Linked DNA regions of Schizosaccharomyces pombe. Changing the gene in region 3 together with the main gene of any one other region gives a genetic interaction. Each region holds a gene or a part of one and is shown on either strand. Other genes may lie near its edges.

Evidence for each region.
Region 1: of spk1 (region 3) and sts5, extra expression of one rescues a mutant of the other (dosage rescue), as found in Schizosaccharomyces pombe (one study listed by BioGRID).
Region 2: of spk1 (region 3) and map1, changing one suppresses a phenotype caused by changing the other (phenotypic suppression), as found in Schizosaccharomyces pombe (one study listed by BioGRID).

What each region holds. Positions count from the first base shown.
Region 1 is NC_003421.2:674,536-687,449, forward strand, and holds sts5 (Dis3L2-like 3'-5'-exoribonuclease), read left to right. Parts: upstream 1-5,299; 5' UTR 5,300-5,826; coding exon 5,827-9,027; 3' UTR 9,028-9,548; downstream 9,549-12,914. Other genes in the region: RNA-binding protein Scw1, read left to right, coding at 1-626; p21-activated protein kinase inhibitor Skb15, read right to left, coding at 1,230-1,533, 1,598-1,755, 1,825-2,215, 2,319-2,491; DNA polymerase epsilon Dpb3, read left to right, coding at 10,293-10,412, 10,514-10,657; pgl1 (6-phosphogluconolactonase), read left to right, coding at 11,366-11,550, 11,669-12,257. UniProt on the Schizosaccharomyces pombe protein: Required for the maintenance of cell shape during interphase. Required for localization of cortical actin to the growing tips before mitosis.
Region 2 is NC_003424.3:5,288,374-5,295,251, forward strand, and holds map1 (DNA-binding transcription factor, MADS-box Map1), read left to right. Parts: upstream 1-4,331; 5' UTR 4,332-4,421; coding exon 4,422-4,565; exon of another isoform or gene 4,566-4,649; coding exon 4,650-4,818; exon of another isoform or gene 4,819-4,895; intron 4,896-5,069; exon of another isoform or gene 5,070-5,087; coding exon 5,088-5,971; 3' UTR 5,972-6,378; downstream 6,379-6,878. Other genes in the region: SEA complex subunit Sea3, read left to right, coding at 19-3,990; vma4 (V-type ATPase V1 subunit E), read left to right, coding at 6,648-6,878. UniProt on the Schizosaccharomyces pombe protein: In response to mating-pheromone signaling or nitrogen starvation, it interacts with mat1-Pc. This activates the expression of one of two mating-type-specific genes sxa2 or map3, which leads to inactivation of the P-factor. May also interact with mat1-Mc.
Region 3 is NC_003424.3:2,996,158-3,006,597, forward strand, and holds spk1 (MAP kinase Spk1), read right to left. Parts: upstream 5,362-10,440; 5' UTR 4,812-5,361; coding exon 3,693-4,811; 3' UTR 3,687-3,692; downstream 1-3,686. Other genes in the region: rrg8 (protein Rgg8), read left to right, coding at 147-246, 297-901; tetraspan protein, claudin Dni1, read left to right, coding at 1,296-2,000; hem4 (uroporphyrinogen-III synthase Ups), read left to right, coding at 2,931-3,686; RNA polymerase I termination factor, Myb family Eta2, read left to right, coding at 5,900-7,609; cAMP-independent regulatory protein Pac2, read left to right, coding at 9,981-10,440. UniProt on the Schizosaccharomyces pombe protein: Involved in mating signal transduction pathway.

The DNA.
Region 1 (12,914 bases), on a different chromosome or scaffold from region 3:
CACCCCATCCTCGTGTCTTTTCGGCAAACAGTGCATTCAGTACAACAAGCCCTCCTCCCTTGACACCATCAACATCAAGAGACTACCCATTTTCAGCTTCTACCATTTCACCTTCCACACCATTTTCGGCTTATTCCTCCAGTCATGGAATTCATCAACGCATCCCTGCTTCTACCCCCACGAATACCAACCCTGCTGATCAAAATCCTCCTTGTAACACCATTTATGTTGGAAATCTTCCTCCTTCTACTTCCGAGGAAGAGTTGAAAGTTTTGTTTTCCACTCAAGTTGGATACAAAAGACTTTGTTTCCGCACTAAAGGCAATGGCCCCATGTGTTTTGTTGAATTTGAAAACATTCCATACGCCATGGAAGCCTTGAAGAATTTACAAGGTGTTTGTCTTAGCAGTAGCATTAAAGGTGGTATTCGTTTGAGTTTTTCGAAGAACCCATTGGGAGTGCGCTCATCAAGTTCATCGCATAACAACCATAATGGAAACGTTCGTAACCTTCACTCTGGTTCCATGAATAATTACAATACAGACTCTTTGCTTAATCATACTGGTGGACATAACGAAGTCCACGCCAGTCCCAGTTGGGGTAATAATCTAATGTATGGCAAATAGCTCATCTAGCATTTTCTCGTCTTCATTTTATCATTATTCATCAATACCTTGCAAGGACTTTAGGTCCAAATTTTTTAAGCATATTGTTTCTCTTTTTTTTTTTTTGAGTTTTGCATATTGATTCTTTGTTAATCAAAAGTTGCGATCTATTCCACTTTGACTGCATGCAACTTTAACCATCTGTTAAGCTTAATTACAATTTGTCGATTTATGCGATCTGTTTTATTTCACTCTTATATAAGATGGGTACTTGCATTGTTTAGTTGTCATTAGGATTTATCATTTGCTCATCATTTCCATATACTTCTGCTACACATATCAATTTACATAATAATATCGACTTTTGCTTCTAAATGAACCCATCTTAAATTGCTAAACAAGTACTGTAACAACTTGGTTAGATGTATTTTTATTGTAACACCCAACTTAAGCTTACATACAAGAATTTTTAGGATACATTGATAAGCAAACACTTAATCCTTTTATAAATATTAGTATAGTCTAGGTGAATAAAATATTTCCAACAAAAACTGTATAATAGTAATCCCGTCCTTTCCCTATTAAGTTGAAATTGATTTACTTTTTTTAAAATTGCGAGGAACTTTAGGCATGCTTCGTCCTTTTCACAGGCGGCTGTTTTGAAGTGCTGTAATATTCTGACTCCGATTCTGACTCTGAAGAAGTTTCAGAAGTTTCCGAATCCAAACTTTGACGTTTCGCAGCTTCATCTTCGACATTTTTGGGTTCTGAATTGCTATCGGCCAACATAGCTACCATACAGGTAATTCGATTGCCTTCTGGAATGTTATGCTCAATTACTAAGTTCCAATCTTTATCCCATATACATACTGAACCATCCGAGCTTGCAGTAATTAAATAATCATCAACAGGGTAGACAGATTTGACGCTAACTTGATTAGAAAATTTTGAATTTTTAATTTGTTGAGTATAGAATATAAAAAGACACTTACCGTTTCTTATGCGCCGTAAATTCATGTAAAATCTTCCCATCAGAAGTATCCAAAACCAGTACTGTTCCATTATCTCGTCCAACTATCAATTTGGATTGATAGAGACACAAAGCGTTCAATTGAGATTTAGAAGAGAAGCTGAAAAGGGAAGTGAGATCCTAAAAATGTATTAGTAATTTATAAAAGAAGGAGGAAAATTGCATATAGAAAAATGCATAAATTCTTACCAATTTAAAGGCATCAATGCCTCTTCGTGACATAATAACAAATGACGACTCATTCAGGAAAAGAATAGATTCTGGGATAGTGCTTAAAGGTAAAACTTTACCTCCTTTACCTCGTACAAGGTCCCAGAGCCGCAACTTTCCATCACCTCCAACTGTTAGGGCCAATTTTTCTGAAGGGTGAACTGCTATACCAGTGATGCCCTTATGAGAAGATGACTTAAGAGTATGAACCAACAACCATGAACCTTTAGACCACATACTGATTTGCCCGTTATCATGACATGCTAAAAGGTGATTTTTAGTAAAACACATATCTCGGATACATGCATTGGCGATATCTGTAGGAACAGAAACATCGGCTATTTGGACGTTACGAGTGTGATCGAAAATTCTGAAACGATGTTAGATTATGCTTAAAAGGATAATTAAATACAAGGAAGGAAGAATGAAACCATTTAAGTCCAGTTTCATAATTCCAGTTGCAAATAACTTACTTAATTGTTTCATCACTGCTAGTAGAAGCCAAGTAAATACCGTCGACAGCTAACGCGGTTAAAGCTCCTTCATGAGCTTCAAAAAGCCACAAGGGCTTGCATTTTTTCCTCTCAATGTCTGCATCAACACCGTAAATGAGGTGAGTATATGTTCCAACTACAAAACGGAGCATCGGTGACTAAAGTATGACAATTGAAGCCTAAATCCAGTTATACAAAACCCAAAGTAAGTTATAATAAGCACCCGATCCTTTTGCTTTTTCTATTATAATTTAATTGAGTCCTAAACCACAAATTCTCAAATACCAAGTAAGAAGGAGAGAGTAGCAAAGAATTTGCAGGTGTAATGAAATTTTAAAGTAACAGCAAGAAGTTTCACTTTATGTTTTTCTTCAAAACCAATGAAGAAAGATTTTTAAATTGCTGAAATTGATTATAGAGAATGAATATTAATAATAAATACCTTATTTTGTGTGCTTTTGGTCTCAAATTGATCAGATTGCTAATGTAAACAACTAGTGTTTCAAAGTAGCAAGCTCAAGGAAGAAAAAGACATACAGTAGCTTTTACTTAAACAAAGAACCTTCCAAGCACTAAATCTTTTCTTGTTTCAATTTTCACCCTGCATGTTACTGGTATGGTTTCATCAAATATTATTGTAGCGAGGTTTCAGGGATTAGCAGCTCCATTACAAATGTTCAGACATGATCTATATCCCCTTCTTTATAAGATTATATATCTGAACAGTTTCACATAGATTTATTATAAAGCAATAGAAACTGAGGTCGAGCTTTCGAAATCGAATAATTGTTTATAGATTTATTTTTTTTATCTTGAATATTTCCAAATTTTATTTCAACATTTATCAAAATCTGTTCACAAGCGTATTTTCCAGGTCATACGTCCGATTGCAGAGAAAGAGTAAAGCAGCTGACAGCCCCAAGGCAGAGCGGACCAACAAACATTCTCACGTTCTTCCATGCAATATGTCGTAACTTAGAAGAAGTTCGTAAATCGTTTACTAAATTGAATTTATTTACTTTTTACAAGAAAAACGAGTTGCTCTGTTGTATCGATAAATAAAATAGAGAAATTCACAGGTACTCATAATATAAAATTTCGTTACTGTAGTGTTTGTATAATGATGTATTGTGATAGATTTTTGTCACATAAGATTTTGGTGTGATGTGCCTTATTCCATTCGTTTCTTTATCAACGTACAATCGCGCTATCTTCATATAATAAATCGGCAAATTCCAGTAATAAAAAATAAGGATTTGTGCTAGTAATCACTATTGTACTTTATTTGAAGCCTATTTCTGCCATGAGTCCTTTTGGGGCAGTATAGGTAGGTAAAAAAAGTCAAAGTCCCATCATGCTCTTTGACAAACTCGTACACTTTAAGGGTTGTTAGGAATATATATAATAAATGTTTCTAATTCCCTTCCTCTTAAGTTTTACGTTCTACAGTTTACATTTCTATCCTACGAAGAAAGCAATTAATTATGATTGACATCGGTAGGGACGACGATATAATTATGAAGCTGCACCGATTTTTATTACCAAGGTTCTTCAAATTTTTTAAATAGCCTCTAATATATTATTGAAGAGCTTCATTCTTTCAATACTTTGTTAAGTCTTTTGATGCTTTCCTCTTCAAATCGAAAAATTCAGCGCACGTCGTTAACGAATTTTAATGTCTTCATTAAAATGCACAAATATACGTAAAAATAGTTTAATGTCTTCGGTATCTATCGTTGTAGCGGTTTATGTGTTGCTGCCAATATCCTTATATAGAGTAAACAGTCTTCCTACCATGCGTGTCTGAGTCGTCCACTAATTCAAACAATTACTCATGTTTCTAGGGCGATTGCTATTCATTGAGTAGTTTGAAGAAATTCATTCTTTCCAAATTTACTTTGTTGCTCCATGTTTACTTATTTTCGCCTTTTGCTCGTTTCGTCTATTTTCGTATGCTCATCATTTTTATGTCAGTTGTTACTTTGTCCACGATTTATGGTTGAAGTAAGCTTGCCCGGTCGATTAACGATAATTTATAAAATCAAAAGAATCAGTAGTTCAAACCAATTTGCTCAAGAGCGCTACTGTTCTTGGATCGCCACCTTTCGCTACTTCTTTCTTCTTATATCCGATGTAAGAATCTTCTTGTGGGTAAAAACCAACTTTCAAAGCAAAGAGAAACACATAATTGCCTGTCAAAAACGAATTTTATTAATAAACAGTAATTCACTACTAATTTTGTTTTGCCAAATTTTTCGTTTTCCATCTTACTTTCTCATTCCCTCCAAACTTCTTGTTTAATCAATTCTTCATACACTCTTATCATCGATTGTATAACGTCTTCGAACGCACTACGCTAATGAATTTTTCCTATATACTGAACACGTCAGTTTACTTCCATCGTCCGCAAGTCATCGTTTTCAACGCGAATGGTCTATTCTTTCGTTTCTTGTGATAATTGACTGTTCAATCGGCCTTAGCTTTATACCGAAATTTTATAAATCTATTTATTCAGCTTAAGATTTCATCGTTCAAGTCGATATTCTCTTTGATACCCTCTTTTGTCTTTGTTTGTTCCTTTTTCACACTTGCTGAGGCCATTCCTCACGATATTTAGGAGTTACGCTTTACCTAACAAACCATTTTTTGTCTACCATTTTGACACTCATTTTCTTTGTTCATTTCTTTCGCAACTCACTTCCTTGGCGAAACTGGTGGTTTTCGCCTGTTCTACTCTAGCTAGCTAAGCTCCCTCTCCCTGTGCATTCTTAGCCTACCTCTTTTTACCGATACAACGAATAGCGCTCCGTATATATCAGTTTGCCAGCTTGCGGATCGCCTCGGAATTCAAGTATTAGATATTACCAACTAACTTTGTTTGTTAAGTGAGAATTACGTTCTTATCATTCATTACGGTAGAATCGGGATTTTTATAAGCAGGCCTTTTTTTTTCCTTAATTAACGAGGATCTACCACTGATCACTTTCATACTTCCTCATTCCTTGCGATTTTGACATTTGAGGAATTAAAATTCCTTTTGGGGCTGACTGTTTCGCGGCGATTTTCATTTGCCGCCTAACTCTTTCGCTTCTGACGGACCAGTCTTCTTTTTTTTCCTTTTCTTAATTTTGTTGGTTTTTCGTTCACTTCTCGAACCACAACCTTCCTTAATAAGACGCTTTTTTTATCCGTAAACATTCGTTTTCCCGTTTACTTCTTTCTTTCTTCTTTTTTTTTGGGGTTTCCTTCTACTTATCTTTTGGATCGTTTCCTGATATCTTTAAAGGCAACCGTTTTTATCAGTTGGGGTCTACGTATTTAATTTGGATTACGAATCTTGTGCCTCGTTTCGCCTTAGCCAGTCTTTCTTTGCTAGCGACTTCTTTTTTCGTTCGATCTCATTGTTTCTTTTTATATTCTTTATTTTTTGTTAACCCACTGCTCCTTTAACTTTTAATACTTCTTTTCTCACTACCCTTTTCGTGTCATGGATGAGGAGTTTGAAAATGACTTTCCTTACAAGGTGATGCTTAATCAGCAACAGGATCCTTCTGATGCGCAATCGAGTCCTACATTTGTTCCTTCTGCAAACCCTTCCCTCACCACTCCTTGGTTACAAACCACTCCCTCTGCTAATCGCCCCACATGGCTACCGTTACAGCAGCACATGCATCAGCTTCGACACACTGGTCTTTTACCCGCCGTTGAATCGTCCTTTGTTCATGGCCATCGTCGAAGTGCTAGTGCTGGCGTTGGTATGGGCAATTTTTCCAACCAAGCCACTATTCCTTCTAATTCTCCAGCCGTTTCTAATATGCAACCACCGACTCAAGGCGGTCAACCCTTATACCCTACTAATTTCTTCACCACTTCGGTCTCTGCCTCTTCAGATTCCTTCCCTAACAGTCCGACCGTTCCTTCAAAGTTTAGCTTAAATCCATCAGTTGCTACATCTACGAACATTAGTCCAAGGCGGCATGCAAAAAGCCATAGTGTTGCTTCTGTTTCCTCTCCCAATTCCCATAACGCCGTACCGTTTACTCCCCATGCGTTCGTTCCTCCAGTCAACAACGCATCTCCTTTACCAGCCTTGAACACTTTACCACAATTATTGCGCCCTCGTAATTTGGATGCTCAATGGCGTCCTTCATCACTTTCTCAAACGAATAGTCCTACTCATGCCGCGAATCCATCTTTTCCTGGGACTATTGTAACTCATAATACCTCAAACTTTCGTCCTGAAGGCGGTGGTCATCGTCATCGTCGATCGACTGGCAGCTTAAGTGTTGGCTCCTCTGGCTCTGGTTTTTCTTCGGGAGGTTCAGGTAATCCCCGTAAAAATCTTTTTTCTCCTTATTTACCACAGTCATCGATTCCTGCTCTACTCGCTGAGCGTCGTTTGGTAACGGGTATTTTAATTGTAAGTAAGAAAAATAGATCAGACGCTTTTGTTAGTGTCGATGGTTTGGATGCGGAAGTATTCATATGTGGTTCGAAAGATCGCAATCGTGCCCTTGAGGGTGATGTCGTTGCCATAGAGCTGTTAGACGTTGACGAGGTATGGGCTGGTAAACTTGAAAAGGAAGAGAATCGAAGGCGTAAAGACCCAATTTCTACTAGAGGCTCTTTTGACAACCTTCGAATTGACGCCGTACCGTTTGAGGTTCCTCAGAGGTCTGCTATAAAAGCAAGAGATGATGAACAAGTGGAAGGGCAGACCCTGTTCCTTCTTGACCAAAAGCAGCTTGGTGCGGACGAAAAGCCAAAGTATGCTGGTCATGTCGTAGCAGTCTTGCAGAGGGCGCCAGGCCAGGTATTTTCTGGTACGCTTGGCATACTTCGGCCAAGTAGTGCCGCTAATAAGGAGAGGCAGACCTCGTCGGGTAATCAAGGCTCTTCCAATAACTCGGGAAATGACAAGCCCAAAATCGTATGGTTTAAGCCATCTGATAAACGTGTGCCTTTGATTGCAATTCCTACTGAACAAGCACCCACAGACTTTTTGGGTAACGATCAAGCATATGCTCAACGATTGTTTTTAGCTTCTATAAAGCGTTGGCCTGTAACTTCTCTACATCCTTTTGGTATGTTGGTTGGTGAATTAGGATCTATGGACTCTATGTCTGCTCAAGTATCCGCTTTATTACACGATACGGGTGTTCATAGTGAACCATGGGAAGGATCCGCCGCTACATCCGCCGTAACTGCACTCAATGCTTTATCGGATAATTTTTTAAACGTTGCTGGTTGTGCAGATTATCGATCTGAAGATGTCTTTTTATTTGTTAAAAATGACGTTAGCAAAGCAGCCGTTTCAGAAGTCAAGCAACATGAATCAAACATCAATTCTAGTTCTGCTACTGATTTCGTTTCTTCTGCCTTTCATATTCGACCAACTTCAACTGGTTATCATGTAGGAATCCATGTTACTGACGTTTCTCGTGTTATTGAGCCAGGATCCCCATTAGATCGCGAATTACAGCGAAGAAGTATTGCGGTGAATCTTTGCCAAAAGTCGGTTCCTTTGTTTCCCACTACGTTAGGTGAGGCTTTATCTTTACGAGAAGATAAGGATTGTTATACAATGTCTCTCTTACTGGATGTTTCCTCAACTGGTAAAATTCGTGGCACTTGGATTGGATGGGCTGTCATTCGTCCTCGCAAGGCATATACCATGAAGGAAGCTGATGAGTTGCTTCAAACTGATGCTAGACTTCGTTTATTCCATACCGTAAGCAGTCGCTTACGAACTCATCATCTTGGTACAGACGTGCCACTCAGCCGGTATTGTAGGTTAGTACGTCGATGGGATGAAGAAAGCTGCAGCTTTGATCCCAATGAAACGAATCTTTTTATTTCCTCGGCGGTTGAAGTTTTACGTGAAACTCTTTTGGATGCCGCTAATAGAGCCGTTGCAAGCCACTTGCGTCAGGAATTCCGTGAAAATGCATTCCTTAGGACTCAGCGATTGCCCTCTCGAGAAAACTGTCGCATATTACAAAGTATGGCCATTCAGATGGGATGTGTTTTAGATTTGTCTTCGACAAAATCACTTTTACGCTCTTTAAGTTTGATCGAAGACGATACTGTTCGTAACATTTTGCAGCTTTATTATTATAAGGTTACCCCAAGAGCAGTTTATGAAATGCAGAAGTATAAAGGCAATCTCGCTTCCCAGATGATGAGTCTTGGTATTGAGGACGAAAGTGACGATTTGACACATTTTACAGCACCTTTGGAACGTTATGGTGATATTGTAGTTCATTATCAACTGCAGTTGCTTTTGAGAGGAGAACTGGCTTCTGAAAAGCGCCTTCGTGTATGGTCGCAAGCGGCAAACGATGCAAGCCGTCGTCTGGTTATAAGCAAATTTGCGCAAGAAACTAGCATTCATATAAAAATATTTAGTGACTGGGCGGAGAGTCAGGTTTGGCAAGACGGTCTCGTATGTTTTGTTGCTCCATCATATTTTGACGTATTTTTCCCATCTCTAGGCATGGAGAAACGTGTTCATTTAGATTTGCTCAATCTAACCCACGTAAGGTTTGAAGAGGACCAGGGCATTTTATCTTTATACGACGAGAGCGGAGCCGTTACAGTTGTTAAATTGTTGACCTCTGTCAAAGTTAAGCTCTTTGTGCAGCTTTCGACTCCACCTCTTATCAACGTTTCAAATGTCGAGTTTTGATGTTGAACTTCGATTGTTTGCAATGTTTATTTCATGTATGTGTTTTTTGGTGACACATGTTCATTTTCGGATGCCTGGAATGGCTTTATATTCTCATTCATATTATTGCTCTTATTATTAGGCATTGTTGATAAAAAATATGTTACGATTCTAAAACTGCATTTTTTCCCATTCTTACTTTTCTCTTTAATTTCGACGAAGCTGTTACTTACGTCTAATATTTGTTTCTGGAGATTTACAAGTTTTGCATAGCCAAGGAGCTCGAAAACTCGGTTTAATCTTATACACTAAGATGCCGATTTTTTATGTTATATAACTAAAAGGATGATTAAACTTGATTACGATAGTTCACGATGATAGAGTTGGATGAAGGAATCCAGTAGTCTCGATACGTGATTTTATGAGTGCATGAGTTGATGATACCTTGAACTTTTCCTTTTTTATACATTAGATTGGATTTTGTTTCAAAAATGAAATCCTGCTTTTATATTGATACATGTCACTTTGTTGGCTTACCAGTAGATGAAGTGTCGTTTGCGTTTGCAATCACTGCGGCGATTAGGCAATCAGAAGTGGATTCTTATCGGTCGTTTGGGGTTAGCTGAGTCTTTTATTTTTTGTTTCTTTTTTTAAAATGAATCTACTATTGGACGACATCTTAGCAATTTTCAGTTGATTTTTTGCAATTTAAGTTCATTTCTTACACAAAATATTCAAATTTATAGTTATGAAACGTATCCGGGATGTGTTAGTTACTCATGTCCTATTTTATGATATGAAAACGGCATAAGATATTAAAAAGAAAAGGATTCTACAAATATTCTTAGTGATTACTATTTTTCATTTTTAACGCTGCCTTGTTATATCGGCTTTTGTTTACCAAGTGTATTAACTCGATATCGAGTATATTTTGATGTATACGCATGCTATACTGATTATAAAAAATTATTAATCCACAAAGTCTTAGAAATTATGAGAACTAAATGAAATACTCTTTAAAAATAGAAAAAAAGTTAAAAATATTTATGTTTCAAGTTAAACAACAATGTAAGGTTCTAGTGGTAAAGTAAGTATGTTTATTATTAGGTCGCGACGCGAGAGTACTTCGTATTTTGACAACAACACACTAAAAGTCAGAAATCAGAAGGCTATAATTTTTTATAGCACTAGAGATTTTGGGTTATTTTATATTAGAACCTTATAGTTTAAGGGTATAATTGCTTTTTTCCAGTCCTTTAAATTGTTTCGGTCGATAGGATTGATTCATGGAGAAAACATATGGGAAAACTGTATTGCCATTGAGCAGAGTAAAGAGGATAATAAAGCAAGATGAAGACGTACACTACTGTTCTAATGCATCTGCTTTGTTAATTTCAGTAGCTACTGTATGTGTGTTGTTGATAAATCAGCTATCTGGGCGACTTAGCACCATTTTGATTGCATAAAAGAAAAAGAAAAATAAAAGCTTACCTATTTTATGATTTAGGAATTATTTGTTGAAAAGTTAGCAACAGAGGCTTATCAACTTGCCAAATTACAAAAACGTAAAGGAATACGATACAGGGACGTTGAGGACGTTGTACGTAAGGACGATCAATTTGAATTTTTATCAGATTTGTTTTCTATATAATTAAAAAGTGTGAGAACTGGAAAACGGAAGCTTAAGTGTTTCCTTTCTTGTTCAGAAACTTCCTCATGAAATGAAAGGAAACAATCATCTTGTCAGTAAAATGTGATTTAATGAATTTTATTTGAGTTTTCTTCTTCGTTTTCATGCTCTTGTGTCTTTTTATCCACAATGCGCATTTTCAAACAGCTTTATCAAACAACTACTGTAGCTATTTGGATAAAATAGAACACATGTTCTCTTAAATTGGGTTACCTGATTTTTCATGTTTCAATCATGACTAATTTGCGGCCTTTGTTAGCTACATCTATAAACAATCTTAATGATTAGGAAATGGTTAAACGTTTGAACTCGATTGAAAGATATTGAAAAGCTACCAGCGCCCATCTGTATATTCTTCATTTAATTCCTTTCTCAATATCATTTGGTTCATTTATTTAAACAAAAATGCAGAGAAGGTCGAGCTTCTTTATCTAATCCCAGCGATGCAGACGTATTGCTTGCTTCATGGTTATATTCTATACCTCCGCTACCTTGCCGTGATAATGCCGTAATCGTACATTACTATACTCGAAAACTGATTTAAGATTTGTTCTGTTCTAAATTTCCGACTACCGAATGAATTACGACACTCCACCTTGTTTCGTTAATACTACTCCATTACTAACAATTGCGCAAATACTGAAAGCAAACCAGAACCAAGTAGAAAAAATGTCGGTTTACTCATTTTCAGACGTTAGTTTAGTTGCAAAGGCACTTGGTGCATTCGTTAAAGAGAAAAGTGAAGCTTCTATTAAAAGGCATGGCGTGTTCACTTTAGCTCTTAGTGGAGGAAGTTTACCAAAGGTTTTGGCTGAAGGATTGGCTCAACAGAGAGGTATCGAGTTTTCCAAATGGTAAGTTAACAGATATTATATACTTTTGAGTTGTATGGATTCACTGTGGTTTTGTTTAGCTTTGGTTGACGTGAAACACTCTGTCTTAAGGCAATTTATGATTAACAGCTCTATTTAGGGAAGTTTTCTTTGCTGATGAAAGAATTGTTCCTTTAGATGATGAAAACTCAAATTATGCGCTCTGTAAAAAGTTGATTTTTGACAAGTTTGAAGGATTTGACCCTAAAAAAATTCATACCATCAATCCTGAGCTTTTGAAAGAAAATCCTATTGACCCTCAGAATGTTGCTGATGAATATGAAAAACAATTAGTGCATGTGTTTGCAAATAGCTCCACTGTTAAGGTCCCTGTGTTTGATTTACTGCTGTTAGGATGCGGTCCTGATGGCCATACATGTTCTCTATTCCCCGATCACGAGGTACTCCAGGAAGACGTTGCTTGGGTGGCCCCAGTCACTGATTCGCCCAAACCCCCTAAAGACCGCATCACTTTGACTTTACCGGTTGTCACACATGCTCAAGCCATTGCCTTTGTTACCACAGGTGCTGGTAAGAAGGATATTTTGCCTATTGTCATTGAGGATTTTACATCTAAACTTCCAAGTGCGCTGATCACTCGAAACAATTTGACTCGTACAAGCTGGTTTGTGGATGATGAAGCATCAGCCAATCTTGAGAGATCCTCTTTGAAGGTTTTCCCTCAATAGGCAGTTCAATTTAAGCAGGTGGCCTTTAGAATGCTTAATTGCTACATGCTTCGGATTCATTACTTGTTTCTTTAAGGTCTTTCAAGGGAAAGGTTGCAGTTCTCTTTTGTTGTTCGTGAGATTCTTTGCATAAACGCTTTAGATAATGACTTTCAAAATGCTTTCAGTCACTTCCGTGGAATGCTTGATGACCAGTTTTAACACATGTTAGTAGATTAGGAGAGAACTTGTTCCTCAAATCCTCTTTGCATTTGTTGTCTGTTTTTTATTTTAGACTAGCGTATAAAGGTTAGTCTTGTAAACAATGTGTAAGAAGCTAATGCTTTATTAAATTGTTTTATTGCTTCGTTTAGAATCATGTTTAGTTGATTGATATCACTGGCCAAACCCACACTGCAGAAATATGATGTTTTAATGAAGAAATGAATCATTGAAATATATAAACTTAAGCTATCTTGTATCATTTTTTGTTGGTGATAATGTTCTAAAATGTGTTTCATCAACAAGATAAAGTAAACCAATTGTTTTTGAATTGCAGTGATATAGTTTAGCTTCAATTCTTTTATTAAATCATTAATTCATTTTTAAAATTATGCAAAATTACGGCATTTTCTCATACTGCTTATGATAGATTTTAAGCAAAGATGGAAATTTATA
Region 2 (6,878 bases), 2.3 Mb from region 3:
TGGCCCATATCGAAAAAGATGAGGGAATTACAGGGAGACGATTCTTCAAGAAAGTCTCCTCCGAGTGATTCGGTTGTAAAAAATTCTTCGCCTATTGATTATGAACATTCATTGAAATCTCTTCAAGATGAACGTACCTTGAATTACCCCAATAAGCAATTTAATTCTGAAAACCCATCTTCATACTATAATATGGATGATAGCGGGGAATTATGCAACTTTGAATTGGAGAAAGACAGTCTTGAATCAATGATCCATGAATCGTCCACTGCTCTAAGCGCTCAATCAAACACTGCACAAGACGGTGATCAACTAGCTTCATCGTCAACAATCTCTAAAGATCACTCAGAAACGTTGGACAATAAGCTAAACGATTCTAAGATATTAATTAAAAAAGCTTCTAACTCCTTTGCAAATTTTTCAGAAAGTGTAAGGTCTAGTACCATTGTTGCATATTCTCAAACACCGACACAAAGGTTGCAAGGTTTAACTTCCATATCATCTTCTTCTTTTGACGATGGTAGTTATGGATCTCGTCGAATATCTTTTAACTCTCAGGGTGTTTCTGGTCGGTTGCGAAGAAATATGGATTCCACGGTCATCATCCCTTCCGAAGATGAAGACTTGCAGTTACCATCGAATTCTAACAGCAATGTGGAATACGGCCCTTTTGATAGTACTACGTTTGATAGACAATTATCAATTGAAGTTAATCAACCAGTGGGTGCTATGTCTTTATCTCCTTGTGGTAGAGATATAGCTTTAGCTTCACGTTATGGTTTACTAGTCTTAGATCTTGATAATCCTTATAATCCACCAAGAATGCTAAGACATTCTACTCCTTGGGAAGTTGCTGATACTCAGTGGAATGTTCATGCCGCAAGAGACCAATGGGTGGTTTCTACATCAAGTCAAAAAACGATAGTATGGAACCTTGCACTACCAAATGATCGTGCTATAGAATTTATGTTACATGGACACACCCGCGCCGTCACAGATATGAACTGGCATCGGCAAAATCCTGATGTTCTTGCCACTTGTTCAATTGATTCCTCTGTTCACTGTTGGGATTTGCGTAGTCCTCGATTTCCTGTTAACTCCTTTTACGATTGGCATAACGGAGCTACTCAGGTAAAATGGAATTATAAAAATCCCCACATACTTGCTTCTAGCCATGGACGTTTAGTAAGGATTTGGGACGATCGTTATGGATCCGCCCCACTTCATACAATTAAAACTTCCGAAAATATTACTAAAATTAATGGTCTTGAATTCAATAGAGCATGTGAAACTCGCCTATTAACTTGTGCTATGGATCGAACAGTTAAGTTTTGGAACTATGAAAAGTCAACAGAGGAGCCTGAGCATTTAATTACCACTGATTCTCCAGTATGGAAAGCAAGGTTTACTCCATTCGGGGACGGAGTTATTTTGATGCCTCAGAGAGGAGACAATTCCGTACACATGTACGATTGTCGTAATTTAGACAAAGAAGGCCCCCGTGCTGTACATAGATTTGCCGGTCATACCGATCAAGTTAAAGAATTTCTTTGGAGGTGTCGAGGCGAAGATGTATTTGATAGAGATTTAAGAGATTTTCAATTGATCACTTGGTCCAAGGATCACCATGTTCGTTTATGGCCTATTGGTAACGATATACTCAATTCAATGGGACACGATCGAACAAAACCTGTTCCTTTTAAATTAACACGGTTAGGCGCGAAATATCGTACTTATTCTCGTGAGCCGCTTAAGCAATCATTAATTAACACTGAGTGTGATTCCTCTGATGCTATGAACTCGTTCGATTCTAATTTTGGTGCAGAACGTGCTAATACATCTGACTTATCCAGGGGATTTGTCGCTTTTGCTAACCGTAAGAAATCTAAATACAATCTTCCTGGCTCTTCAGGATTTATGACTCGATCCACTAAATCAACTAATCCCATGACTCCATTAAATTGGCTACGGGGAATTTCTATGGGTCGGTTAGGTAATGCTGATTGGGAAGTTCCTCAAAACCTTGGAGAAGAACTTTCTTGGATTGGGCAGAAGTATTCCAACGTTAGCTTTGAGAAAATTGATGTAGCGGAAAGGACTTGCACAATATCTTTAAATGCTCCCATTCTTCCTGATGACGGTTATGCTTATATTAGGTTGCATGTGTATTTTCCAAATAATTATCCTATATCTGCAACTCCAGTGTTTCAACTAGAAAGATCAAGCGCCTTTAATGATGAGCAATTTAATTATGTTTTTAATACATTAACATCAATTTCAGACCAATGTATTTCTTCCCATAAATATTGCATGGATGCATGCCTATCTTATCTGTCCGGCAATCTAAGTGTCGATGAAATATGGAAGCTAGGCTTTCAAAAAGATAATTCTGATTCATCTTCTGAGTCCTCTGCCGATATTTTCCAAGATGTTTTTCCTTCTATGCCCGATTTTCGAGGTGGAGATCGCGGCCTCTCTCATAAGCATCAAAATATTCCTCTTCCTAAAACTTGTGCAGCTATATTTTGTGGTAATGATGAGTTGGTGTGCTTTTTCACAATCAAAGCCGATGAAAGTGCGGCACAGGCAACTGCCAACCGCGAAACCCACGGGCGCCAAAAGCTGTTTGAGTCATTTGGTGTTTTAGATAGTAGTAACAGCGTGGCAGATTCAGACTCAACAAATTACGATGACGAGAACTCTTTAAATAGAGGTGGCACATCTGAATCGGATAGTGAGTTTATTTGGGACGTTGATGAATCTAATTCAGGTTCAATTGTTTTCCCTAAATCCAAAACCAGCATAAACCTAAACAATATAAACTCTGCATCTGCATCTATTATGGGCTCCAGATTTGGGGCTGCTGACATCTTCATGAGTAAACGCCCGTCGACAAAAGGTTCTAATAGACCCTCAATTTTACTTTCTAAACCTTCTCATGATTTTCATGTTGTGAGGATTATTAGTATGAGCAAATATCTCCCAGTGAAAAGAGCATTGGCTGCTGAATATGTTGTTGATACTGGAGATAAAGTTACAGTATGCAACAAAAATGCTGAGGTATCTGCTAAGCATAATTATTATCGCCTGGCAAAAGTTTGGTTAATGTTAGGTAGACTTCTTGGTCATTTATCACGCACTGAAAACAAAGACCACATTAATGACGAGGAAGCATTTCCATGGCTTAAGAGCCCTTTAGCAAAGTGGGTGGTTAATTCTTTACTGGATTATTATGCTTCTCAATGCAATACCCAAATGCTAGCTATGCTTGCTTGTGTTTTGGACATTCCTAATCCTAAGAAACAGTCAGGTAATACGTCTGCTGATCAAGTTCTTTTCAATCAACCTAAACAAGTTACCGAAAAACTAGGTGTGCAGCTCAACCTCCCAAAGACCAAAATATTAGAAAAGGTATCTAGCCATTCATTAGCACAGATTACAGCATTACGAGAAAAAGAACCAAAGGATGCAGATTCTACATATTCTAAAGAAAAGATTTTTTCCGCAACCAGTACGGTACATTTACAGCTGATGGATTATGATAAACAAAACAACGACTTTGTTGATGCACAAGAAATTGCATATACCAAGTTATTACAACAGAAATTCATACAATGGCGTGCCACGTATGCTGAACAGCTTGATTTATGGGGATTTTTCATACCAAAGTTAGAGATGCTAAAGTTTAACGCTCACGAATTTTCCTCACCAAGTGAAAAGACATTAGTAAATCATTGCAATAGCTGCAATTCCACGACTTCTAATACTCGTATCTGCGAGAAATGCTATAGCCTGGTACCCCGTATGTCTTGCACATTTTGTTGTTTGTCGATTCACGGTTTATGCATCGTATGCGGACTATGCCTTCATGTTATGCATGAAGATTGTTATAAGGAGTGGTTTTCTAACGGTGATTCTATATCACAGTCGTGTTCTAGCGGTTGTGGTTGCAAATGCCAATTTCAGCATATGTCTTTGGAAAAAGTTTAATGATTTTTACAATGTTGTCTATTAAGACATTTATGATTGCGTAAATTGCAAGTGTGATTTTATTTTATAAGTATACTGGGTTCAATTAACAATAATTTACAAATTTGATATTTAGATGCTGTAAAAGATATTCAAACGTTCCATTTAAATCACTTTAATCTCATTTAATAAGAGCAGAAAAAGCAAATAATTACCACTGGCAATATTGTTATTTATGAGTTGTTGTTATAATTTGGGTAAATGTGAAACGTTTGATCTTGTTTAGTGTAATAACCGAATTTTAACGAACTCCAAGTTCGTTATAAGGTATAAATGAAAGTTACTTGGAATTTAGGAAATTTAACCTAACTTGAACTTTACAATTTGTAACAAAGAAACACACATTTTCAAGTGTGTCAGTTTGTTTAAAAAATCGACAATTTACCTTCTAAATGATGGATGAAAGAAAGCTTTCAAACTTTCAAATAGATGGTGAGAAAGCGTATACTGGAAGTTCACAGGGAAATAGCTATTTGGAAGACAGACAAAAAAGGCAAAATACTTTTACTAAAAGAAAAGCTGGAATTTTTAAAAAGGTAAAAATCCCTGGCAATTGTGAGATTTCAAGTTAGAGCGAAATTTAATTTTTAGTAATGTATTGTTTTTCTAATAATTATTAGGCAAATGAACTAGCTCTTTTGACCGGGAGCGAAGTAATGGTTTTGGTTGTTTCAGAAACAGGATTAGTGCATACATTTTCCACCCCAAAGCTTGAAAATGTTGTAAAATCACCTGAGGGCCAAAAGTTGATAACAGAAAGTCTCATCAATGCAACCACAGATCAAAATGGTATGTTTAAAATATTAATATTTTTTCTTTATCCTTACAAAAATTTCGACTCGAGTTTCTTTCAAGAATACTTCGATTGTTCAGCAATTTTGTTTACGAACGCGACACTGCGAAGTAATAAGTCGCGCTTTTACTGAATGACGTCAATTTGTTTACGTTTTTCTTGCTGCAATAATTAACAGATATTCTTTCAAAAAATAAAAAAAATAAAAAATCGTTTATTTTAGATATGCTCATTTTTATAAAAATAACTAAACTAATTACCATAGAATCTCAAGCGTCCCAAGCGAAACAGAGCTCAGCTCAGCTCAGCGATTCGGAATCGGGTTATCCTTTAGATCATGAAGAAATGAGAATATCTGAAGAAAATGGGCCTAGTCACATAGAGAATCTAAATTTTTTTTCTGATATTGACAATTTTTCGAAGACTTCTGCAGAAGAAATAGCCTCAAAGCTTTTTTCCTCAGTGTCTCCAACTCATGAAACATTACAATTTGACCATGGATTACAAAATTTGGAGGGTTTTCAAGCTAATGAACATCCAGAAATGTTTGCCGATCACTCAATTGATTTTTATAATTCAAATAATGTTGATATACCTGCTTTATCAATGCTGACTTCTCAAACTAGTAGTTCAAGTACGCTTAATTTACCACCAGAACCGGCTTCCAGAGAAGTGAAAATTTTTCCAAAGCAAGGTAAAAGGATATTTTCTCCTTCTACAGGCATTGATTACGAAACTACTGGACAACATTCTGTAAATTCCCCACCCTCGACATATAAGCATCGGAGATCTTTAAATAAATCTTTTGCTACACGAAGCGAACCCCAAACTCCTCGGAAAAACAAAATCAGAGACTCCCTTCAATCATCTCCATTGAATTTTCCCCCGCGCGATCGACCACCGTTAATACCTATTAGTCGTATTGCTGTTCCATCCACCATTGAGACTGAGGAACGGCAGTATCGTGGTAATCAAAAAATAATAAATTTCTATGCCAAAATTTTTGAACCAAATAGTGGATTGGGAACAAGTTCAGAAGGAGCATCATCGTCTTTTCCAGATGTCGATCCTAACTTAGCACAGAATGGTGTTCCCTATTATTCATTACCTGATATAGATCACAATCAATTTGATCATTTACGGAGATAAATTCAATCTGACATACCATTGCGGTGAACCAGTATTTGTCACGAACTCCAAATTTTGTTGTACTAAGTTTGACTCAGTATCTGTGCAGAATTTTGATGCCATTCTGTATTGCCTATTTTTTAATTTAATTTATTACTCCTTATTTAATATCCCAAAATTCCAGCTATTCCCTTATAGAAAGTCATTTTTGTTATCTCCTTATCTACAAGACCATTTGATGTTTTCGCAAAAAATAGCTACCAAATTCCCTTTTAAATTCCAGCTATTAGCTGGTTCCTGATACTTACTCTTTATTAATTTACAATTCAACTTAGCGCTAATTTCACCCTAATTTTCATAATTTTTTCAATCCTAATTAATGCACTTTCCTTTATTTTATGCAGTATTGTGGCCTAAATTGTTTAATAGCTATGTGAAATTTGAAAGCATTTACTAAATAAGAAAAATAACTAGGACTAGCTACATTATATATTACTTTGTACAAGGACTTTTTATTATTGAATGCAAAGCTTAGTTTCGTTAGGAAACATTATTAGTTTAAGGATATCGCTATCTCTCCCAAATCTAGCTGCTCGTCCAAAATGCTGCAGTGGAAGGTACAATAGCTTGATGTACGACTTAAACCACGTCCCACTACCAAATCTTTATAGACTTTCCACATTACTAGTATTGCAAAATGTCGTTGTCGGATGAACAAGTGCAAGCAGAGATGCACAAAATGGTGAGCTTTATTAAGCAAGAAGCTCTTGAAAAGGCCAAAGAAATCCACACTCTGAGTGAAGAGGAGTTCCAAGTGGAAAAGGCCAAAATTGTTAGAGAACAATGCGATGCCATTGATCAAACTTACGATATGAAGCTCAAAAGAGCCTCCATGGCACAAAAAATTGCTAAATCTAATGTTTTGAAC
Region 3 (10,440 bases):
TTTTATATGCAACGCTTCACAGCTTAGTAAGAAAAAGTATATCACAAGTCATCCTACAACCTAATTTAGAAGTCAAATTGGTTAGGATTGGGGTGGGGAGTTTATTTCTGATCCATACTATTTACTACATCTGCAAAGTATTCACAATGACAATAAAAAAAATTATTTCGAAAAATGATCCTTTGATAAGCATCCTAAGCTCTCCTTTAAGACAAGACTTGGCAACGCACTTTTTATTTCCCAGAGGTAATCTTCTTTTTTAGTTAGTTTTAATGTTCGGCTTACTGACAATATAGAGCTATTAGCGAAGTTTCCTGCAAGGAAGGATACAAATCCTCGAAAATTTTGTTTGTTGCCATTAGAAGGAAAAAACCATTTACATAATAAACATGTTTCTTTATACTGCTTATTATCGGATAGATACTTGCAACCGCCGTCAAAGCGCATTTTCAAGCGCTGGAACATGGAATTAAATAATTTGAATTGTCCTGATATAAAAAGATACATACTTGAGTCATTACAGGACTCTTTGTTAAAAGAAATATCCTCATTAAAAGAAACTTCAACTCAGAATCATTTACATTGTAATGATATTAAAATTTTACAAGATTGTCTAAGGAGACCTAACATTTCGAATGGTGGCATATGGGTGCAATGGAATTTAGAAGAAATTAATCAATTGAAAAAGTTTCTCTCTTTTAGAAAACTCTATCCTCGTCAATCGTTTATATCGTTGTTACAAATACTGCCCGAGCCCTTTTTAAAATCGCAATTGAGTCATACGCTACCAGTGGGATCTAAATATTTTTTTGTTCCTTGCGACAAGAAACATCATACCTTGGGGCTTTTGCTATGGAAACTTTTTTTTCTCAAAGATATGCCCGCTGCGTATTCCTCATAGAGTCGAATGACCATTGACGAACTCTTTGTTCTCGGGAACAAAGAAAACACGAAGACAATGAAAAAAGCAGATTTTTGAAAGAAAGCTTAGAAATATATTATGTCATTAATAATTTTTTTGTTTACTTTAAAACCTGGCTTGGATCTTCCTTGTTCGTCTTTTCAAGCTACTTCCCTTCATAGCATCGCAAAAAGCCATTTGAGATAATTCTGTTGTGATTAAATCTCCTTAATTTTACTTCAGGATTTGCCTATATTTTTGCTTACTGAAGGCTTTCACGAACGTCAAATAATTTACCTTTTTTTAAAAAACATTCAACCTATTCATTCAAAAAAACCAGTTGACGAAAAGAGTTTTTGTATCAAGGACAAACAAACATCTACATTTAATCACCATGCTGTTTCTTCATTCAGTTGTACAAGGAACTGGAACTCTTTGCACATTAGCTGCATGGATTTTACTTGCACTAGTAATGACAGGTTGCCAATCTAGTACCACCTCGAAATTCCAGTTGTTTTCTCTTGCAACTAACGTAGCCCAAATTAACGTTGGGTATTTTAACATGTGTGTACTTTCTGCTAATGCGACGCTGATCTGCAAACCTCAATTTACTGGTTGTCCTGGGTTGACTTCCATTAGCTTAACGGATGTAAGGTCTAAATTTCTAATCAATGAAGTTCACCCTTGGATGATTGTCTTTTCATTTTGCGTATGCGGTGTTTCATTTCTTATGGGTGTTGTTTCCAGCCTTCCCTTAATAGGGCGTTTGGAATTCCTGAGAAACATTCGTATAAGCCTTTCTTTTTTCTCCTTTTTTAGTATACTAGTAACTGCTTTGTTTGCTCACGTTGCTGTCTCCTCTTTTGTGATGGCTGTTGGAAATGGAACACAAAATCGAGTTACTGCATCTCTAGGCAAAAAGGCTATGATCTTTTTATGGTGTTCTATGGGACTTGTGACATTAACAGGTATCACGGATTCTATTATTCTTTTGGTTACTTCAAGAACCAAGAAGATTCGTAAGACGATACTGGAAAAAAGCAAAGTCCTTACCCCTAGTTCATCCTTTTCTAGCAAATCCTCAACAACAAAGTATTAAATTATGCGCCTCAACTATTATTGTTTTGAGAAGATATGACCTTTCTCACCTTGTTATATTACATTATGGCAACTGTATTCATCTGTACTTGTTTTTTGTTTTTACGTTTTTTCACGTTCCGCTTTTTTTATGATTTTCTTAACGCCTCTTTTTACGATTAATCTCATCTTGGTTTATTTATGTATATGTTTTCACACTGCACTTTACTTCATTTCTCTTTTGCACTCATTTCTACTTACCGCACTTGAAACTTTCATGTCAAAAGCTCATATATTCAAGTCAAGATAAAGCTGTTTAATATTTCATTATCAATGACTAATATCGATTAAAACAATCATATACATTCTCTTTCCATAGTCTTTTTATTTAGAACCTATATACATACGCATCTTTACAAATTATACATTCTTCAATTGATTTTTTGCATAAATCTGATCAACTGTATACTTCTGTAACAGTTTTTTCGTATCTTACAATCGTAGCTGATAGAAAGAAATTAAAAGAGATATTAAATGATTTCTGCCTTGATTATTATTCAGTAAAGCAATTACACACTCTAACTCCCTTTTGCGTTAGTTCCTACCATCAATAAACGAAATTTTTGTAATGATAGATCAACCCTATACTTCGGAGTAGAATGTAGCGTCTTAAGCATAATGATGAATGTTGATCAGATACTTTTAAACTATCGTTTACCGTTTTTCCAGAAGCATTTCATTTTTTAAAAAATTTGTCAACCGATGACGGTATTTATTTTTTACGAAATTTGAGTTAAGTTAATGATTTGATTAGCGATGTGGAAAGATGCATGTTTGTTCCATCTGCCAAATTGTGCTACTGCTCACTGGTCAGAATAAGCGTAGAATAGGTTGAGGAACTAGATGACACTGTAATTATTTTTTTACATTTCTCAAATTGTAAAGACAAAGCATGAAAACTGCTTTGCTATTGAAAACCAAATCACAGCCTTTCGATCCATATGTGGAGGCCTTTGAAAAATATGGAAGAGATACAGCCTTCATTCCTGTGCTGAGACACAAAAGGGTTCACGAAGAACAGCTTAGAGATAAATTAAAAAACGTTCGTAAAACTTATTGTGGTTTAATCGTTACCAGTCAACGAGTTAGCGAAACTCTGGATGAAGCATTAAAACAAGAAGATGAAACGGAGAGGCAGAAAATATTGATGGAAACACCAATATTTACAGTAGGTCCGGCGACTGATGATAGTATTCGACGTCTCGGTTTTCAGCAAACACATGGAAAGGACTGTGGAAGGGGTGAGGTTTTGGCAGATTTAATTGAAGAGTGGTATACTACGACTAAACAACATAAGCCCTTACTTTTCCTTGTAGGGGAAAAGCATAGGGATATAATTCAAAGAAAACTGGGGGACGACAGAGTAGATTCATTAATCGTATATGCTACGCAAGAATTAGAAAATACAGAAACCCAAATAAAGGATACGATTAGAAAACATCCTACAATTGATTGGATTGTCGCATTCAGTCCGACATCCATTTGCTCTTTATTAAACACATTTGAATTAAAGATCGCAACCATTGGACCTACTACTGGAGATTATCTAAAGAAGCTGGGAACTCAACCGAACGTTGTATCTCCAGCACCTAATCCAGAGAGCTTGGCATCCAGCATAGTTGCCTTTGATGAGGAGAATTCTAGTTGAAGCTTTTTATCTGAAATTTACTTCACGAAATATTAAGGCCTTCAATACCGGTATTTCGAGATCTTCTTTGTTACAGTATAAATCGACGAGGTTGGGAGGCATGGGGGATGCTGTAGGCTCATCACTGGCATCATGATAAGCAGCTACATACGGGTGCTTTAGAGCCTCTTCTGCAGTTATACGCTTATCAGGATTAAATGTCAGTAATTTTTCTAAAAGGTCAATAGCATCTGGTGATGCCTGAGGAAAGAGTGCTTTGAATGATACTTTAGGAGTAAATGGAAGACTTTTAATATATTTCCTCGCACGTGCAGATTTAATTCTTGAAAAATCGTCCATAGTAGGCGTTCCTAGAATGTTAAGGATTAAAGTAATTTGACTATGATAGTCCTTTCCTGGGAACAATGGTCGAGCAGAAAGCATCTCAGCAAGTATACAACCAGTACTCCATAAATCAATAGCTTTGCTGTATTCTCGGAAACTCAGCATAATTTCCGGTGCTCGATACCAACGAGTTGCGACATACTCAGTCATAAAGCCAGGATTTCCGCCTTGAGCTGTGGTGGAACGTGCCAAACCGAAATCGGCAACTTTGAGATCACAATTGGCATTTAGTAGTAAGTTTGATGGCTTCAGGTCTCTATGAACAACTCCAGCACTATGCATGGCTTTCAGAGCGCGCAAAATTTGATACGTAAAGTATTGACAATGATCATCGCTTAAGGGCTGCGAACGTATAACACGGTACAAATCCGTTTCCATAAGCTCTTGTACAATATAAACATCTTCCAATTCCTGGTAGCTCGGTGGTGGAAGGATGTCTAGAATTGAAATTATATTTTCATGACGAAAATGTCTGAGTAACTTGATTTCCCTTAAAGTTCTTAGACAAAACACAGGATGATTGAAAGGATGTATTTTTTTAACAGCCACCTTTAGGCCGCTGGGTTTGTGAAGCGCGGCACATACAACTCCATAAGCACCTTGACCGATGAGATTGATCATTTCGTATTCCTCTGGTAGCTCAAAGTTTAGATCATGCGTGTGTGGGCTTCGACTTGTAGCTACTGACTCCTTGTTGGAATTCCCATCCGCAATAGTAGGCGTGGAAGTAGCGCTCGCCATTAGACTACAAATTGAAAAACTTGAAAGAAATGAAGCGATATGAATAGATAAATAGAATTAAAAAGAATTACAACGTTCTTTGTAATAAATTATGTTATGCAATCCTTTGTGCTTTAAATCCGACAATATTGAAAAAAGTCGGTTTGCCAGCCAAAGACAGAAATAGACAAGGATGTATTAGAAATCCCTTTATCAAATTAGTTTAGTATTAAATTAAATAATGCGAAAGAAGGACGTTCGGCAGCACTTCAAAAACAGGCGCTAGCAACAATAATACAAATATTAGGTTGCAAGCTTATAAAATATAGGAATAACAAAAGAAATAGAAAATATACAAAAATCGTAAAAGGGAAGAATTTCAAAAAACCAGACAAATGTATCTTCGCAATTGAGATTAAAGGCCCACAATGGTTATTCAATAAAAAAATGATGCTTCAAATATTGCCAAGCAAAGATGCCTTGAGGGAATTGCAAAAGCGTCCTTCAAAACCGTCTCTAGCAATTTCTCAATTGCCCTTCCAAAACTGTTGAAAAGCTGTTGGTAATTGTTAAGTAGTGTGGTTGGACTAGTCAACATTTATAACTTACAATAACAAAGAAAGTTTCTTTGTTAATGTATTGCCCCAGAAACTTCATAGATACGAATCTTTAGACAGAATAAAGAAACGATGAGTGACATGAAATCAAAAAAGTAACACACATTTTAAGTGCGCGACGCGTCGCGCATATTCTTTGTTTACACTAACTTACAAACCTTCCATCTACCACGACAGAAATTAAAGGCAAAGAAATGCAATATTTTAAGACTATCTAAATCGAAATAATTAATTTACAAGGTAAGCAGAAACAATTGGTTATGCAAGGATATTTGAATGGGTTCTTGAAGAGGTTGAACAGAAACCGTATGATGGTTGTTTAATTTTATGTTCTCGTAATAATAATCTTATGAAAGTTTAAAAAGCATGAAAAAAAATAGATAAATCCGTTGAAACTCTCAAACAAAAATAGTTAAACATTCATAAATTTCCCTTGGCGTCCTTACTTCATCATGAATTGGCTAACCCGTTATTAGAAGGCATTGTAAATTAATGATGTTAGCTATCGACATGACAATAAATGAAAACCAGGGAACACGCTCAAATTTGGAAAGTCCTACACTTTCATGTAGCAGTAAGGGTGCAATGCAAGAAAGAGACGTTATGTTTACAGATCACAATACCTTCAATATCACTAATAATAAATCTCGGCCTGGAAGTTTAATGAAATCTATGAAAAGAAAAGATGTTTACGAATTTGATGAAGATAATGAGTTTGAGTTTGAAATGGGGTCACTTATACATAAGCCTTCACGTGCTCACTCCTTAGGAGGAACTAGTGAGCCTGTGTCAGATGACCATAAAGATTGTATGGAAGCTACACGACAGTTATTGGAAAATAGTCCACTTTCCTCTGTCGTTGTCAAAACATGTAGTGATCATGCATCAAAGCGTAAAATTGCGCGATCCTCTTCTGACGATTCTGAAAGCAAAGTTGAAAGCACAAACTCTTTCAATGCAAAGAAAAGAAAGGATGCATGGACAGAGGAGCATGAAAAGTGGTTTCAAGCAAGGATTGATGAATTGTTAACGATTCGGTCTATATCACGGGAGCAAATGATCGAGATATTGGAAGACGAACATGCTGGGAGTCGACTTCAAGGGTTTTTAGAGTCAGTAGCATCTTTTCTGAATCGAAAAGAAAATAGTTTACTAAAGTACATGCGTGCTTTTTTTCAAGTCGCCGGTTACGAAAAGATAGACATTGGAAGCTTGGCTGCTGAAGAGGATTCGCAACTTAATTTTTCTCTAGAAGACGCACAAGTGATTCAAAAAGTAGTTTTGTCTTATTGTAATAATGAAGGCGTAGATTTACAAGAGTTTGGCTTCCGGATGAGTTCTTCAAGCTTAAGACATACAAATATCAACTTTCTATACAACGAACTACGCGAATTGCTGCCTACTTCTATTTCAAGAAAAGGAATTATTCGTTATTTGAAGGAAATCTACAAGCCGTTGGATCCGAAAGATAGGAATGCATGGGAGGAAAGTGAGCTAAAAAAGCTGTACACCCTAGTTGAACAAGAGGGAACGCGGTGGAACAGCATAGCGAACAAACTGGGAACGTCACCTGCCGCGTGCATGAGTCAATGGAGGTTTGTTGTAGGTACTAGTACTCAGGAAACAATTGATCGGCGCAAATTATGGACGAATGAAGAGGAAGCAAAGCTATTAGACTTGGTAAAGTCTTCTTACCGGTCGTCTTTTCACACAAAAAAAATGACAAGCCTTTTCACACACAATAATCACACTACTTCAAACATACAACGGGAAATACCGGCATCTGATTCCATTGCATGGCATAGCATATCGAAGAAGCTTGGGACTAAGTCGCCGGAAAGCTGTCGAAAACAGTACGAAAAAACAATCGCATCTTATTCTTCTAACCAACGTCAAGAGGAGGATCAAGGGAAGAAAAGGAAGAAGAGAAAAAAGAAGAAATCAAAGGGTAAACGCAAATTTTACGTCGCGGATAGTTTAAAACTACTAGAACATGTACAAAGGCAATGCGGAGAAGCAATCTCCATAAATGCCATTGATTGGAAAGGCATTGTCAAGCAAATGCCAAAATGGTCCGAGGAGGAATTGAGAGCGCAAGCCACAAATTTGGTAGCGAGTGTTCGCGGCTGGAAAAAGACACGTTTAAGTGAGAGTGTGAGAATCGCAATTACAGATTTGAAAAGTCTTCCTCCTGACGTATAATAACAAATATTGCAGACGAAACGTTAATAAGTGCGCAAGAAAAAATAGTCAAAAAATATCTTTTTTGCTGGTATGTCACGTTTGCCCAGGTCATATTGAATGTTTTTCTTGGCTGTCTCAATTTTCCCACACAATATAATGATATTTCTCATCTCTTTTTGCGACAGGGGCGAAAATAGTTGGACTGCACTTCAAGAGCAACCGAACCCGTCTACCTGCAAAACGTACCTACACAAGAATTCTGCAGCATTAAAGTTTATATGGCAGAGCAATGGAGAAGAAGAGTGAGTCACCTGGTTCCTCTCCACATACTGGATACTGTTGATTTAGGTTCATTTGCGAACCCATCAATCATTTTACTTCTCGACATACTGTTGCCAATCTAAATTACTTTCTTTTCATACTTGTTCCAATTGCTGGTTACCTGATATCCTCTCTCGTCTACCTTAATCCGATTAAGTGCGATGTATTTGCAACATGCACGTGTGCATTGTAACCAGCCTCATTCCGAGCCTTTCCGCTTATTTATTTATTAAATTTTTAATGTATATTCGTTATTTAATTAATATCTAAGCATGGATCGTATGGTTACTAACTTATTTCTTACTTCATCCCTGATAATGACGGATAATAGATGCAAAAATGAATGGTTTGGTGGTGGCCAACGAAACAATCGACACTGCTACGGCTCTACTAAAACAAGTCACGTTCAACGGTTCATCGGCTAATATTAACTCAAAAAAAAAAAAGAATAAAATAAGTATAGTTCGGGGTCCGAGATTTCTTTGATAGTCCCTTGGACATTCTATTTTAGCATTTCAACTAACAACTGAAAGGGCCGGAAAATCTTTGAAATTTTTAAATCTGTTTAACTCATCCCAAAGTAATTGAGTGTCGGAAAAGAAATGGCCCGAACGGTTTTATGAACCGGTCCCTACTAAAGAATAACAAAATTCAAATATTGGAAAGGCAGGTTTTGGTTTTGAACGCAGTTGTTGGATTGAAAATATATTCCATTGTACTTTGTACTTGATAATCAAAGTAATCTTGTTGTTGATCATTAAAGGCGTATCAACAGTGTTGGGGAAAAAGTTTACCTTGAATCTTATCTAGCAGCGGAAACTAAATAATTATATTTATTAAATTGTTAGACCAGCCTAAAACTATCGGGATTAGCGTTGGGTAAGGGATTTACGGAATATTTACCGTATTAGGTTTTTTTTGAGTTTTAAAAATTTAACTCGCTAACATAACCGAAGCCTCGCACATATAAACTATCTTTCAACCTACTTGACTCAACTTTTCCTTCACCAACCGCAGTGTTGCATTAAGCAGCAAAACGTTGTCACCTTCGAATAGCGTCTTTTTGACGAATAAAAAGGTTGGACAACAAAATTAAATTAAGCAAATTTGTGTATAAACTAACAGCAAGTGAAGTTGTACCGGTTGTATGATTGAAGCATTGTAAACCAAAGAACAGCTACTTTGCCTTGTCGTACATTAGCTTTTTCCTTTGCAAAGAACTTTTAGGGACCTTTTTTTACCACAACTAGAGAACCGGTGTAGAAAGGTGTTCTATTTTAGTGAACGGATTCGTTTAATTTTTTCATTGAGAAAAAAATTTGATCTATCTTGATTTTTTCGACTGTTTCCATTTTTAACTATTTGTGACGTTTCTTATTGCCAAATTTCAACCTTGAGCATTGTTAAAAAAGCTGAATTTAAATTTCTTTGCTTTTAACATACAAGTGAGCTATTGGGTTTGTAAAGATTTAATACTTGATTGGAAGTTTTTTTGGTCAAGTCTGTTTTTTTTGGGTGTTTTTTTGACGATCAGTTGAAACCGCGAATAATAATATTTATTATAACTCCCTAAAAAAAGAAAGAAAATCATTTATTAAATAATTTTTACTTTCCTTCATTGTTTCTGAATTTTGCTTCTCCCTGCCGTTTAATTGTTTCATTTTCTTTTAGAAAGTACTAAAAGGTAATCAAATCGGCTAGTCTTGCAACTGAATTTTCTTTGAAGATAATATCTAGATTTAATTTTTCCCTGCTTGAATTTCCTAAGATCTTGCGTTCGTTCGGACTGAATTGCATAATTTATTGAAGGTCTCCATTCCTGTATACTTACTCGACTACCCATTTATCGGTCAAGCTGTATATATACACGCACAGTCAACTTATCTTCTACTTATATTTATAAAACTATTTATTTTATTTCTCTTTAATCCGAGCTTCGTTAGTTGATTCTTTTGATCTTTGCATTGGTAACTAATCCAGTGCGCTTTTTTTTTTGAATCTTCGTGACAGCTATTTTCTGATTTTACTTCATCTTCAAACTACGATCTGATCGGCTTTGCCTTTCGTCATGCAAACTTATACAGGTATCATTAAGACCCCGTTGGATGCGATTATCCTTTTCGAGGCCTGTCGAATTGGTCTTCTTCCACGCGTCCAGCGTCGATTGTCCGACCATGAAAGAAGCTTGATACGAGCAGGCAGTGTTTTTGTGTGGGATGAACGGGAAGCTGGAATGCGCCGTTGGACTGATGGTAAATCATGGAGTGCTTCTCGTGTCAGCGGTTCATTCTTAACCTACCGAGAAATGGAGGGTAAACGTAAACCTTACCATCACGGTCTTTCCACCGATGGTTCCCTTAAACGCTCTCCCTCTGCAGATACGACTGGTAATAGTTCCCTAAATGCTTACAGCAATGAGGACAGTGGAGCCGCGAGCTTGAGTGATGAAGAGTCGGTTGATGATGAGAACCTACGGGGGTTGCATTACAAACCGAACGGCTTAATTAAGCAGTCCTTTAGTATTACTA